Linked DNA regions of Schizosaccharomyces pombe. The protein of the gene in region 1 interacts with the protein of each later gene in a pairwise test. Each region holds a gene or a part of one and is shown in the gene's direction. Other genes may lie near its edges.

Region 1 (6,311 bases):
TACTCCCTGACGACAGTGTACTCTTCTCGCTTGGCGATGAACTCGATTCAGATTTTGAGGACGACAATACTCTCGAAATTGAAGTAGAGAATCCAGCAGATGTTTCTAAAGATGCAGAAATAAAGAAATTAAAGTTACAAAATCAACTTCTTATCTCTCAGCTTGAAGAAATTCGAAAAGATAAAATGAATGAATTGACTAGTCAGACTACAGATCAGCTATCAGTTACCCCAAAGAAAGCAGATAACGATTCTTATTATTTCGAGTCTTACGCTGGAAATGATATTCATTTCCTTATGCTAAACGATTCTGTCCGGACCGAGGGATACCGTGACTTCGTTTATCATAATAAGCATATTTTTGCTGGAAAAACGGTTTTGGATGTAGGATGCGGTACTGGCATTTTATCCATGTTTTGCGCAAAGGCTGGCGCCAAGAAGGTTTATGCTGTGGACAACTCCGATATCATTCAAATGGCTATCTCAAATGCTTTTGAAAATGGTCTTGCTGATCAAATTACTTTTATTCGTGGAAAAATCGAAGATATCAGTTTACCGGTTGGCAAGGTAGATATCATTATTTCGGAATGGATGGGCTATGCTCTAACGTTTGAGAGTATGATTGATTCCGTCCTTGTTGCCAGAGATCGCTTCCTTGCACCTTCTGGAATTATGGCACCGTCCGAGACACGATTGGTACTTACAGCTACCACAAACACTGAATTGTTAGAAGAACCTATTGATTTCTGGAGCGATGTGTATGGTTTCAAAATGAATGGCATGAAGGATGCTTCTTATAAAGGTGTTAGTGTACAAGTCGTTCCTCAAACTTATGTTAACGCCAAGCCTGTTGTTTTTGCAAGGTTTAATATGCATACGTGCAAAGTTCAAGATGTCAGTTTTACTTCCCCCTTCTCTCTAATTATAGACAACGAAGGACCGCTTTGTGCTTTCACTTTATGGTTTGATACGTATTTTACGACTAAGAGAACACAGCCTATTCCAGAAGCTATTGATGAAGCTTGTGGATTTACAACAGGCCCTCAAGGCACTCCTACTCATTGGAAACAATGCGTTTTGTTACTACGTAATCGTCCTTTCCTTCAAAAAGGCACTCGTGTTGAAGGAACTATTTCCTTTTCAAAAAATAAAAAAAACAATCGTGATTTGGACATTTCGGTTCACTGGAATGTAAATGGGAAAGCTGACTCTCAAAGCTACGTGTTGAATTAGGATCAAAGTCTTTACTTAAAAATATAGAATTACTGATTAATGTTACTATGCTGTAGGTTTTTGGATTAGGAATCTTGCTGGGGTTTTAAGGCATTTCCTGTAAAATTATTTCCCCAGAGTGGGAATACGGTGGATCGAAAAAATCATCTAGTCTTAAAATATTCTCTATTTTCTATACTACTAAAAAATAACATTTTTTCAATCTTTTAAATATGGAAATTTGAGTACATAAGGATTAAACTATCAACAACTGCACAATGCTTGGGAAAGATTTTTAACGTGAACTATTATTATCGTTGATTTTTTGTTACGATTTGATTATATTTAAGGGATCTCTAAAAATAATTGTGACTTGAATCATAATTCAGATGACTAGCGTTCAATGGTCGTAGAATTGCAAATAAACATATTTCGTTCCGGAAAATTAAATATGGATATTTATAGCCTTAAAAGATAAATTAAAAATGTAAAAGCTTTAGCATTTTAATGTAATTAAGACGAGCCTTTTCAACAATCCATTCAATAAGTTAACTCATAGCGATTGTTAGCGCGCAGTGTTTGCAGGTAAAAATATAAGGTAAAGAGTTCAGCATTTGCAAAACACCAAACTAGGGCGAAAATGAATCAAAATACACTTTATGTGAATAATTTGAATGATAAAATTAATAAAAATGATTTAAGAACAGCACTATATATGCTATTCTCCACTTATGGGACCGTGGTTGATATTGTCGCGTTGAAAACTCCCAAGATGAGAGGTCAAGCTCATGTTGTATTCTTTGATCCCTCTGCCGCTGCAATTGCGATGAAGGCCTTAAAAAATTTCATATTCTTCGGAAAGGAAATGGTATGCTGTGAAATGAGCTTTCTCATTAATCCCCATAAAAAAACAAAAACGATTGACTAACATCTTTAATAAGAAAATTCAATACGCTCATTCGAAAAGTAAGATTATTGAAAGAATCGTCGCCGAAAATGACAGCAGAGGTCCTTTAAAACGGCTACGTGATGAAGCTGACCTTGAGTAAACTGTACATTTTCTAAAATTCACAATTATCGTTTTATATAGGGTAACTTTTTTCGGGATCCTGTTGGAGTCAAGAGAGTTATAAAGAGTGGTTTTCCTTTTTCTCTCTTTTTGTTCTTCACTGTATATACCTGTTGGTTTTAGTTGTTTCAGGTGTCAGTGTTTGCAGACAGTAAAGCGGACCGATAACACCATCGCATTGTTGCTAAGTTTTATAAGATGAAGCAAAATTCTAGTCCAATATCATCTTGTTTACAGCTATTTTAGTGGATTTTTCATGCAAGTCTTTCTCAACTAGCATTGCGCAAGGCACTGAACTTTAACGCATTTGATGGAATTGTTCACCTGGCTTCAACATCGCTCGTCGTCTTTCTTACAATGGGAAAGGATGTAGCATTGGATTTTCTTCCATCAAGCTTGTATAGCTGTACTTGTTCTTGCGATGGAAAATTGGCTTTTTGCGATTCAGAAAAAGTCCAAATCTTGGTACATATCTCAAATTGACGTGTTCGAGACTAGCTAATTCCCTTCAGGTACCTTCAACTGAAGCCAATACGCCTAAGTTTATGAAGGCGCTAGCCTATTTAGATGATGTGGAAGATGAACTACCAAATTGCCAAATGCTTGCTCGTATGTTCCCAATGCCCTTTGATGCTTATGAGAGTATAAAAGCTAACGTGTTTTACAGCTAATGAGCTTCGTTTAGGAGATCTAACTCCAAGTGTCATAAGCCGCTATGTGGTCTGGTCGCCAACAGGTCTCGCAGACAATTACGAGTATGTTCTTAAAAAGAGAAGACTTGAGTTTGACTTTACTTAACATTCCACTCGGTTTGTGTTTTTGTGCGTAAATATTTCTATTTTTATGAAATTTGTTTCATTTTTTAAAGTTTGTTTATCGTTTCAATGCCTAAAATAAAGTCTTATTCGGTTTTGTTTCTCTATTCTACTTTTTATTTGAACGCTAATCAGCTAGTCCATTGTTAACTGTTTTAACTAATCGTCATCGTGTGTATTTCTTTTCTTCATCTAGTCGCGTTCTCCATCAAAAATGGACTTGCGTGGCACAAATGAGTACTCACTTACCTTCCGATCCTTTGGAACTTTGCCGAATTCATAGCGTTGCATGGTCGCCTTTGGTAAGTCTTCCTTCATCTTCACCTTGGGGCGTGTGTTTGTTTGCACTTGGTGCAGAGTCGGGTCATGTCCATCTCTCTATTATGTCACATTCATCTACCCCATTTTTCAAGTCTTTTGATTTGAATTGCTCATGGGTAGTTCAGTTATCATTCTCCAGCTGGAATGTGGTTGGGGATTCAGCTACCTGTTTGCTATCGTGTTCTTCTCGGAATGGAGAAATCCGAATTTTAAAAATAGCTATTAGCTCTCATTCTGACACTTTTGATACCGCTATGCAAGAGCTACCTTTCTCGTTGGACTATAGACCGTTTTCTCCTCTGCTAGCCTGGTCATCTCCATTAGCCAATGTTGAATACCTTGCGTTAGTTTATCCTGGCCATTTATTTGCATTTCGGTATGACAAGTCATTAGGGAAGTTTTGCTCTTTTTTGAACCATAATCTTTTGTCCCTTTGCTCTCCTTCTGGAGTGTTGTTTGGTCATAACGACATTGATACCATATATGTTTACATCTTGACACATTCTGGAACTTTAGAGACTTTTTCCTTGTTGGATAATTCAATATCGATGTTGGACTCACCAGAGAGACATGTGCTTGAAAAATTTTTGAACAATCACTTGCAAAATTATGGCTCTGTTTCAGATGATTCAATAAAGACCCTTAAAATCCATGGCTTTTGCCCTTCTCCTTACTTATCCTCTGCTGCTCTCCACTTTAGTATATCGTACCCGGCCTCATTTACTTACGTTGTAACAGCAGCTGAACGAAGTTATTTTAATTTCATTCCATCTCTTTTTTCAAAATCCGTTTTTTCACACATGATTACTTCTTCACTTAATAACCTATGTGTAGCACCTTCAGCCGGTTGTTTACTCGAAATTTCTTTAATGAATGACACATTAAAAGAAAAAACGGATATTTTTACAATGCTTACAAATTCCTTATCAAGTTTTTTAGTTACGGATTATGATTTTTTCCTTGAGCTAAAGCATCTTATAGATATATCCTCTCTTTCAAATTTGTATTTAGACTCTTCATTGAATGCAATGAGACTTTTATATGGTTGGAGCGTTTATAAACAAAAAGCATTAGACGCTACTTTACTGAATTCTTTGAGATACCGATTAACCCTATACATTATGTTATATACACTTTCTCAGATATCTCTTGACCCCTCTTATCTAACTAGTGATTGCAAAGCTGTTTTAAGAAACTTTGTATCATTTACTTATAAAGAGTTGGCTGAGGTACCGATTGCAATGGAAGTAGCGAACGAGATAGCAAAAAGCTTGGAAGTTTCCTCAGATTTTAGTGAAACTTGCCCAGCATGTGAAGCTACAGTTCAATTCAATAATACATCATTAGCTACATGTGATAATGGACACGTCTGGAGACGTTGCTCAGTCACCATGCTACTTTTATCTCAAAAAGCTGCGAAATATTGTGCTGTGTGCAACAGTATAGTGGCCATTTTTAACCCTAGCCAAACCAAATGCTTACTTGCAGATCTTCAAAATGAGCTTTCTATTTGCTTCTATTGCGGTGGACATTTCTTGGTTTCGTAATATTCCATCCATTTATCAAAAATATTTTATAACATATCCGGTGAAACATTATTTTCTTTTGTTACGTGTGTAAATAATATTTATTATTTTTTTTGACAATCAAAACCCTTCTTAAATATTTCTCACTACATAAATCAGGAGTAGTACATAGGAAAATCCATTATATTATAAAATAATAAACAAAACGTAGGAGTCGAGATACATTCCTAAGACTACAAATTTTGAGAAAGAATACTTCTGCTGAAGTTGAACTATTTCTATAGCCTAAGAAGACTGAGAAGGAAGGTAGCTCCTTGCACGTCTTGTTCTTCGGAAGCAATTATGTTTGACTCGTCAGCACCAGTTTCCTTTTCGATGGGTCTTCTCAATACCTTCGAAAATAAGGCTTCATTGGAATCTACAGCAGATTCGAGACCAATAGTATCGTTTTTTATTTTATAAGTCATACGAACATCGTCCGTAACTTGTAAATTGCTCTTCTTGCGCAAACGTTGAACACGGTTGATAACTTCGCGAGCCAAACCTTCAGCTTGCAACTGAGCATCGATCTCTATATCTAATAAAACAATACAGATGCCATCAGTGTTCGATTTCAAAAACTCGTTCTTAACCTCCACAGAACGAATAATTTGTAAATCTCCCTCGACAAGTTCGATACCATCCAAAACCATTTTCTTGTTCTTCTGAAACTCTTTAACTTCCTCAGAAGTAACATTTGGTAGAGCCTTCTTAACACGAGCCATATCTTTGCGAAGCTTCTTACCCAAAACAGGCCAATCTGCTTGAACGCTGTATACGACTCCATACTTCTCTTCATTGGAGGTGAAAACTACTTCACGGACGTTAAGCTCCTCTGCAATATATCTTTCTAAGAGCTTAGCATCTTCCAAGTATTCTTCGTTAGTGAGAATAACAATAAGGGTTTTTAAGGGAGTCTTCAAAGAAATATTATTCTGCTCACGAACATAACGCGCCAATTCGATAATAGTTTGCATACGCTTAACACGGCGTAAAACAGTTTCATCATCAAGCTCAGACTTGTAAGTAGGGAAAGGAAGGAAATGAACTGAACGAAGTGAAATTTCATTTTTGTCAATAGGCATGTAGTTTCTAAGGTGTTGATAAATGTTTTCAGTAATGAAAGGGGTGAATGGGCCCATAATACGAACTAACGTGAACAAGACTTCAAACAAAACGTTCAAAGCATTAATAGTTTCAATTTCACCATCTTCACCCTTCAAACGACGTCTGTTAAACCGGATATACCAGTTAGTCATCTCCTCAATTAAACCGAGAAGTTGAGGGACCACGGTGTACAAACGGTATTGTTTCATTTCTTCATCAACAA
Region 2 (5,548 bases), 890 kb from region 1:
ATGGATATGGGGTTTGAAGAAACTTTGACTAAAATTTTATCTTATTTGGAATCACAAAGCAGTATTATTAAGAAGGATCTCAGTATTCCTTCTCGTAAGGTTACAATGCTTTGCTCCGCTACAATGAAAGATACCGTAAAGCGTTTAAGTGATTCCGCTTTAAAAGATGCTTTGTACTTAAAATCATCTATTGTGGAGGAAACCAATGACGGTTATAGCCAGGCACCCGAGCAGCTTCTTCAAAGATATGTTGTTGTTCCTCCAAAACTGAGGCTTGTAAGCTTGGTTGCCCTATTGCGAAGTCATGTTAGATCATATAAGAAAATAATAATTTTTCTTTCTTGTTCAGATAGTGTTGATTTTCACTTTGAAGCTTTTAGATGTGCGATAAACGCTGATGAAATGGAAGAGGCCGTGAAAGAGAAACCGGACTCTGAGGGTGATATCATTTCAAATGCTCCAGCTCTGAGAATAGATGGCAAATCAAATGTATACCGATTACACGGTTCCTTGTCTCAACAAATCAGGACTTCGACGCTGAATCTTTTTTCTTCAAGTGAAGATTCTGGTTCACATATACTTTTGTGTACAGATGTGGCAGCCCGTGGTCTTGATCTGCCAAATGTTGATTTGGTTGTGCAGTATGATGCTCCGTTTAGTACCGACGATTATTTGCATAGAATTGGCAGAACAGCTAGGGCTGGACACAATGGTGCAGCTATTATGTTTTTACTCCCGAAGGAAAGTGAATATATTAATTTGTTAAAGTCTTCAGTTAGCGCTAATATATTGGAGCAGCCTAATGGTCCATCTGGGTTGTTGAGTGCTGGTTTTTCGCAAGGTAAAACAAACACCAATGATTGGCAAGATCGTGCAACAGAATGGCAGTTGGAATTGGAGCGTTTTATATTAGAAAATGAACCTATGAGGAATATTGCAAAAAGGGCTTTTACTTCTTATGTGAGGGCTTATGCAACACATCTTTCATCAGAAAGAAGTATTTTTAACATGCGTGACCTTCATTTGGGACATATTGCTAAGTCCTTCGCTTTGCGAGAAGCGCCGGGCAAAATATCTGGTGCAAATTCTTCAAAGCCAAGAAAGCAGGGTGGTTCGGTTGATAAAGGTAAAAGTAAATCATCGAAAGACATTGCTGCTTTGATGCACAGAAAAGCAATGGAACATTATTCAACGGAACACAATATAGGATAAACATTATTTGTGTAAAATTTAAGGTTCAAACGGTTTTTGGTTGGCATTTGTATATATTTATATAATTTAATTTCGATCTTTTAAACGCAATAACAATCTTTCGAAGATAAAATCTCTTGCAAGTGATTATGGAGAAGTTAAGTTATCATTTCTAAACAAGTATTGAGAGGAATTATGAATGGCGTGCCATGGTAATGCTTGGCAATTGTATCTGCTATACAGGTTATGTATAACAGCTGAGATATATCAAACACCACATAATATTACTATTGCTGCTTATGTAGTAGTCTTGCACCATTGCGTTATGTGATAACTCAATTTCAAGGACTCACTATCCCTTATCCAAATAATATTTGTAATGTCAGTTGTGGAGCTACTATTTTAAATTATTAAAAGATTCAAGACAAAAAATAAAAAAGTTAGGAATAGCCTACAGCACCCCGGATTCCCATGTTGTCTCCAACCATAGTACTAACGAGGCCCTCAGACGCTTAACTGCAGTGATCGGACGGGAACTGGTGTTTTCGCCTAGGTATGGCCGTAGACGTTTGTACCTAACGATAATTCTTTTTAAAATTAAACAAACAATTAGAAAATAATGAAATCCAAGCATCAAAATTTAAAGATTTGATCAAGAAAAAACTGCTATAGGAGGTTCCTAATATTAAGTTTGAACTACTGATTAAATTATTTAATAGTAGCATCACATACTATTCCCTATAATCCTTTAATAGTGTCAGAATAATGCTCTCAGCAAACCCGTAGTAATTGAAAGAAATTTGTTGCATATTTACCAGTGAAATTGAGCTAACATTTCACATAACGTTTAGTAGATTCAATATAACTATATATATATTTTTTTCGATTACCGAAATACTTCCTTTGACAAAATCGTGTTAACAGAACTAAAAATGAGGAGAGATAGGCTGGTAAAAAGAGCAATCGAATTTCATTGAATGTGTTAAATACTTAAAATAAATTTAACTATTTGCAAAATTTATTCTTTATGAAGTTTCTGCATGGACTCGTATTAACCAACAAATGTTTGAAGTTAAGTCTAAGTTTCACACTCACAATTAAAGCAGGATTGAGCTGAACCAAGACGAACAGCAACAAATTAAGAATTGGGATTTTTTAACAAATTAATTTTTTCAAAGTGGAATAATTATTTGAAATAAATATTTTCTTTGAGCACTTGCAAACGAGGTTTTGATTAGGTCAATATTGCTTTGATGAAGTTCACCACCATTCCTAATGAATATTGACGCGTATGGGCCCTAAATCTAAGGAATACGAAAATCCAAGCTCTTATAAAAACGATGAAGATAATGATGATGACGGCGATTTTGTTTTAGAGAACGTTATGTCTGAAGAAGACATAGAAATAGAAACACCGTCAAGAAACCGAAAAAGGGTAAGTACTACTCGTCGAACCCCCTCAAAACCTATTAGAAGTCAACCTTTAACACCTTCATCTTCCAAAGGCGCTGGGAATGAACCGAAGAGTCAGAATTCTAGTACTACTCGTGGAAGTGCTAAAAAGCAAAGTTCAAAAGGTTTAGAAGAGAAGTTAATAAATTCTTACGGGACTCACGTTGAATCTTTAAATAAAGGAAGGAGGCTAATCGAAATTTGGAAATATTATGAGACTGCTCCTGGTCAATCTTCCTTTGAAGGTCAGACGTCGTCTGATTCCAAGTTGCAAACACTTCTGAATCTCGACGGACAGCAGTTATTATCATATTCCGAAAATCCTTTTTATTTGTTTGAAGTTAAAAATTTAAGCATAAGTTTCCATTTTGAATCACCACAGCAAGTTGAACCCTGTCAACCGGTAAACCCTTTTAAGGAAAATCCACAGAAATCGGGGTTTGTGGTGAATACAGGGATTCCTTTATCGTCTGTTTCATGGTTACCAACAAATAAAGAAACACAGTTTTTAGCTGTAGGAGGGATGCTAAAATTTTCAGAAACTACTGAATCAGTATTTATGCGAACTTCTGGACGGAATCAAATTCAACTTTGGAAACTAGAAAACAAAACCAATTTTAAGTCGGAATTTATATTGTACCATGATTGGGGAAGTGTTCTTCAACTAGAGTGGTGCCCCACAATTTCGGTTGAAGATTCCATTCTTGGGTTTTTAGCAGTTGTCTGCAGCGATGGAAAGCTGCGCGTTCTTCGTGTACCTCGATCACCAGTAAAATTTCATGGTATTAAACATCTTTTTTTTTCATTCTCCTAACATGAACTAGTATTCGTCGAACAAGCAGACTTTACTTTTGGATTTAATGATTCTCTTATTTCTTGTTGCACATGGGTTTCCCCAGAACATGGCGATATACATCAAATTTTGGTCGGCTGCTCTAACGGTAAGCCTGTTAAACTAAATTATTGTTACTAATTAAGTATAAGGTTATTTAGCTCTGTGGGATATTTTGAGCAGCCAGGAATGTCCCCTTTTTTACATCCCATATCATGATTCTTACATACATAATGTAGTACAGTGCCTGGATGACTTTCCGTGGCTTTTTCTGACCACTGCATTTGATTGTTATACTCGAATATTTGATATTCGCGATCCCATAATTGATAATAGACCGCTTTCTCATAAACGAGGTACGATTATTATTATTATAGCTTCTTCCGAACTAACTTAATATCAGATATTTGTTACACAATCACTTGGAACAACATGTTGCAGTCGATTATCTCCTGTAGCGAATCTCAATCTGTGGTCATCGAATCTTTACGAGGCACTTCGACACAGTTATTAGATGAAAGAAACGGCTCAATAATATCTCTCTCAAACAGCAAGTTCCATCCTTTTGTAGCGTGTGCTGCTTCGGATGGAATAGTTACGATCGTCAATCCATTCCGTCTTTTGGGATTCTCTCACAAACAAAAAGCTAATGTGCATAGAATATTCCAGTTAGAATATAGCGAAAAACAGGATTCATATCGTATGTTAGATGGTTTTCGTCCAAGGCTTCCCAAAGCCAAAAAGCTAGACATGTATATTTATCCATGGCAAATCCAAGTGAACAAAGTCGAGTGGAATGGAAACAAAGGTTATGCTGGTTGGTTAGCTAGTGGTATGGCTTGCGGAATCCTACGAGTTGAAGATCTCTCAGCCGTTGAAAGAAGATGATAAAATTATCCTTTATTAATACAATATATACGATTTTTTATAAATAAGATCTAGCATTTGTGTTTCATCACTTTTTTTTGGAGAAAAACACATACATTGTATTCTATTCTATTTTTTCTGCATCATTAAGATATGGTTTTATGTACCATGTCGGTAATTTTCGTAGGAAATAAAAATGAGGTTCAAAAACGGCATTCAACCTAAATGTCAAATCTGATCTTCAGAATCTAAAAAGTTTGGATTATTTGATAACTTGTTTAAAAATTTTGCATGCCAATCCTGAAAAACTCGAAGTGGTATGAATGTATCATTGGGCCGCAGGTCACCTAACCCAATGGAGTTGGGAGGAAGTTGAGATGTCGCAAAGCTTGCTAGGAAATTATATAAGTTGGTTAAAATTTTTTGGGCAACAGAAGTTACGGGAGGTAAGGGTTTGGCGATGACATTCGATGCTGAAGTGCTTACAGCTGGTGTTTCTGTGAAATTGGTCAAAGGCTCTACACTAATACCTAACATGGCAGTAATTCCAACGCAATTTTCATTTTCCGAAAGAGTTTGTATGGTGTTTTTTAAACGGAAAATTGCACTAGGCTTTTCGTTTGTCAAATAACCTAAAAATTGAAAAGGCTTTCCAGGCCATTGAAAGTAAACCTTAGCACCCATTCCGACTGGGAATGGAGAGTTTGGCAAAAGAAAAACCACAATGTGATTCAAGCTTTCCGCAGAGTCTAGTTGGAAGACAAATTGATTATCGGCGACTTGTTGCAAATTCGTTTGCACTAGATTGTGTATTAGTTATGTGTATATAATAAAAACATTTATTTAAGTTTTATTTTTGAACTTCTAGCGTGAAAAAACTTCGTTTAATGTAAAAATTGTGCGAAAGTGCCAGAGAAGCGACATACCTAATCGACCAGCACAGATGGCACCAAACATGATTTTCGTTAAGTAGAAGAACTACAAGTACGCAGGAAACAAAAAAATATAGAGTAGTCTTTTCTTTGAAAAAGTCGTCTGACAATAAATTGGCCTGTACGAAAGGTTAGGAGTAAAAAACAAATCCCGTTCTAAAATCCTGCTACTTAGAAGAAGTAAAAATCAAGTAACAAGGTTGCTACATTTGATGACGTAGTATGGACTGGTACACAGGGTGAGGATAGAATGAGAATTAGCATAACGTTCTAA

The links.
Region 2: the proteins of sfc9 (region 1) and sfc6 interact in a two-hybrid assay, tested with the Schizosaccharomyces pombe proteins (one study listed by BioGRID).

The regions. Positions count from the first base shown.
Region 1 is NC_003423.3:1,371,262-1,377,572, reverse strand, and holds sfc9 (transcription factor TFIIIC complex subunit Sfc9), read left to right. Parts: upstream 1-2,606; 5' UTR 2,607-2,637; coding exon 2,638-2,745; exon of another isoform or gene 2,746-2,792; coding exon 2,793-2,889; exon of another isoform or gene 2,890-2,929; intron 2,930-2,947; coding exon 2,948-3,035; intron 3,036-3,175; exon of another isoform or gene 3,176-3,234; coding exon 3,235-4,963; 3' UTR 4,964-5,085; downstream 5,086-6,311. Other genes in the region: ribosomal protein arginine N-methyltransferase Rmt3, read left to right, coding at 1-1,232; U2 snRNP-associated protein Msl1, read left to right, coding at 1,852-2,079, 2,153-2,260; isoleucine--tRNA(Ile) ligase Irs1, read right to left, coding at 5,221-6,311.
Region 2 is NC_003423.3:2,259,732-2,265,279, forward strand, and holds sfc6 (transcription factor TFIIIC subunit Sfc6), read left to right. Parts: upstream 1-2,453; 5' UTR 2,454-2,482; coding exon 2,483-3,425; exon of another isoform or gene 3,426-3,467; coding exon 3,468-3,584; intron 3,585-3,627; coding exon 3,628-3,831; intron 3,832-3,878; coding exon 3,879-4,363; 3' UTR 4,364-4,433; downstream 4,434-5,548. Other genes in the region: ATP-dependent RNA helicase Dbp7, read left to right, coding at 1-1,212; hikeshi family nuclear import carrier Opi10, read right to left, coding at 4,571-5,142, 5,269-5,299. UniProt on the Schizosaccharomyces pombe protein: TFIIIC mediates tRNA and 5S RNA gene activation by binding to intragenic promoter elements.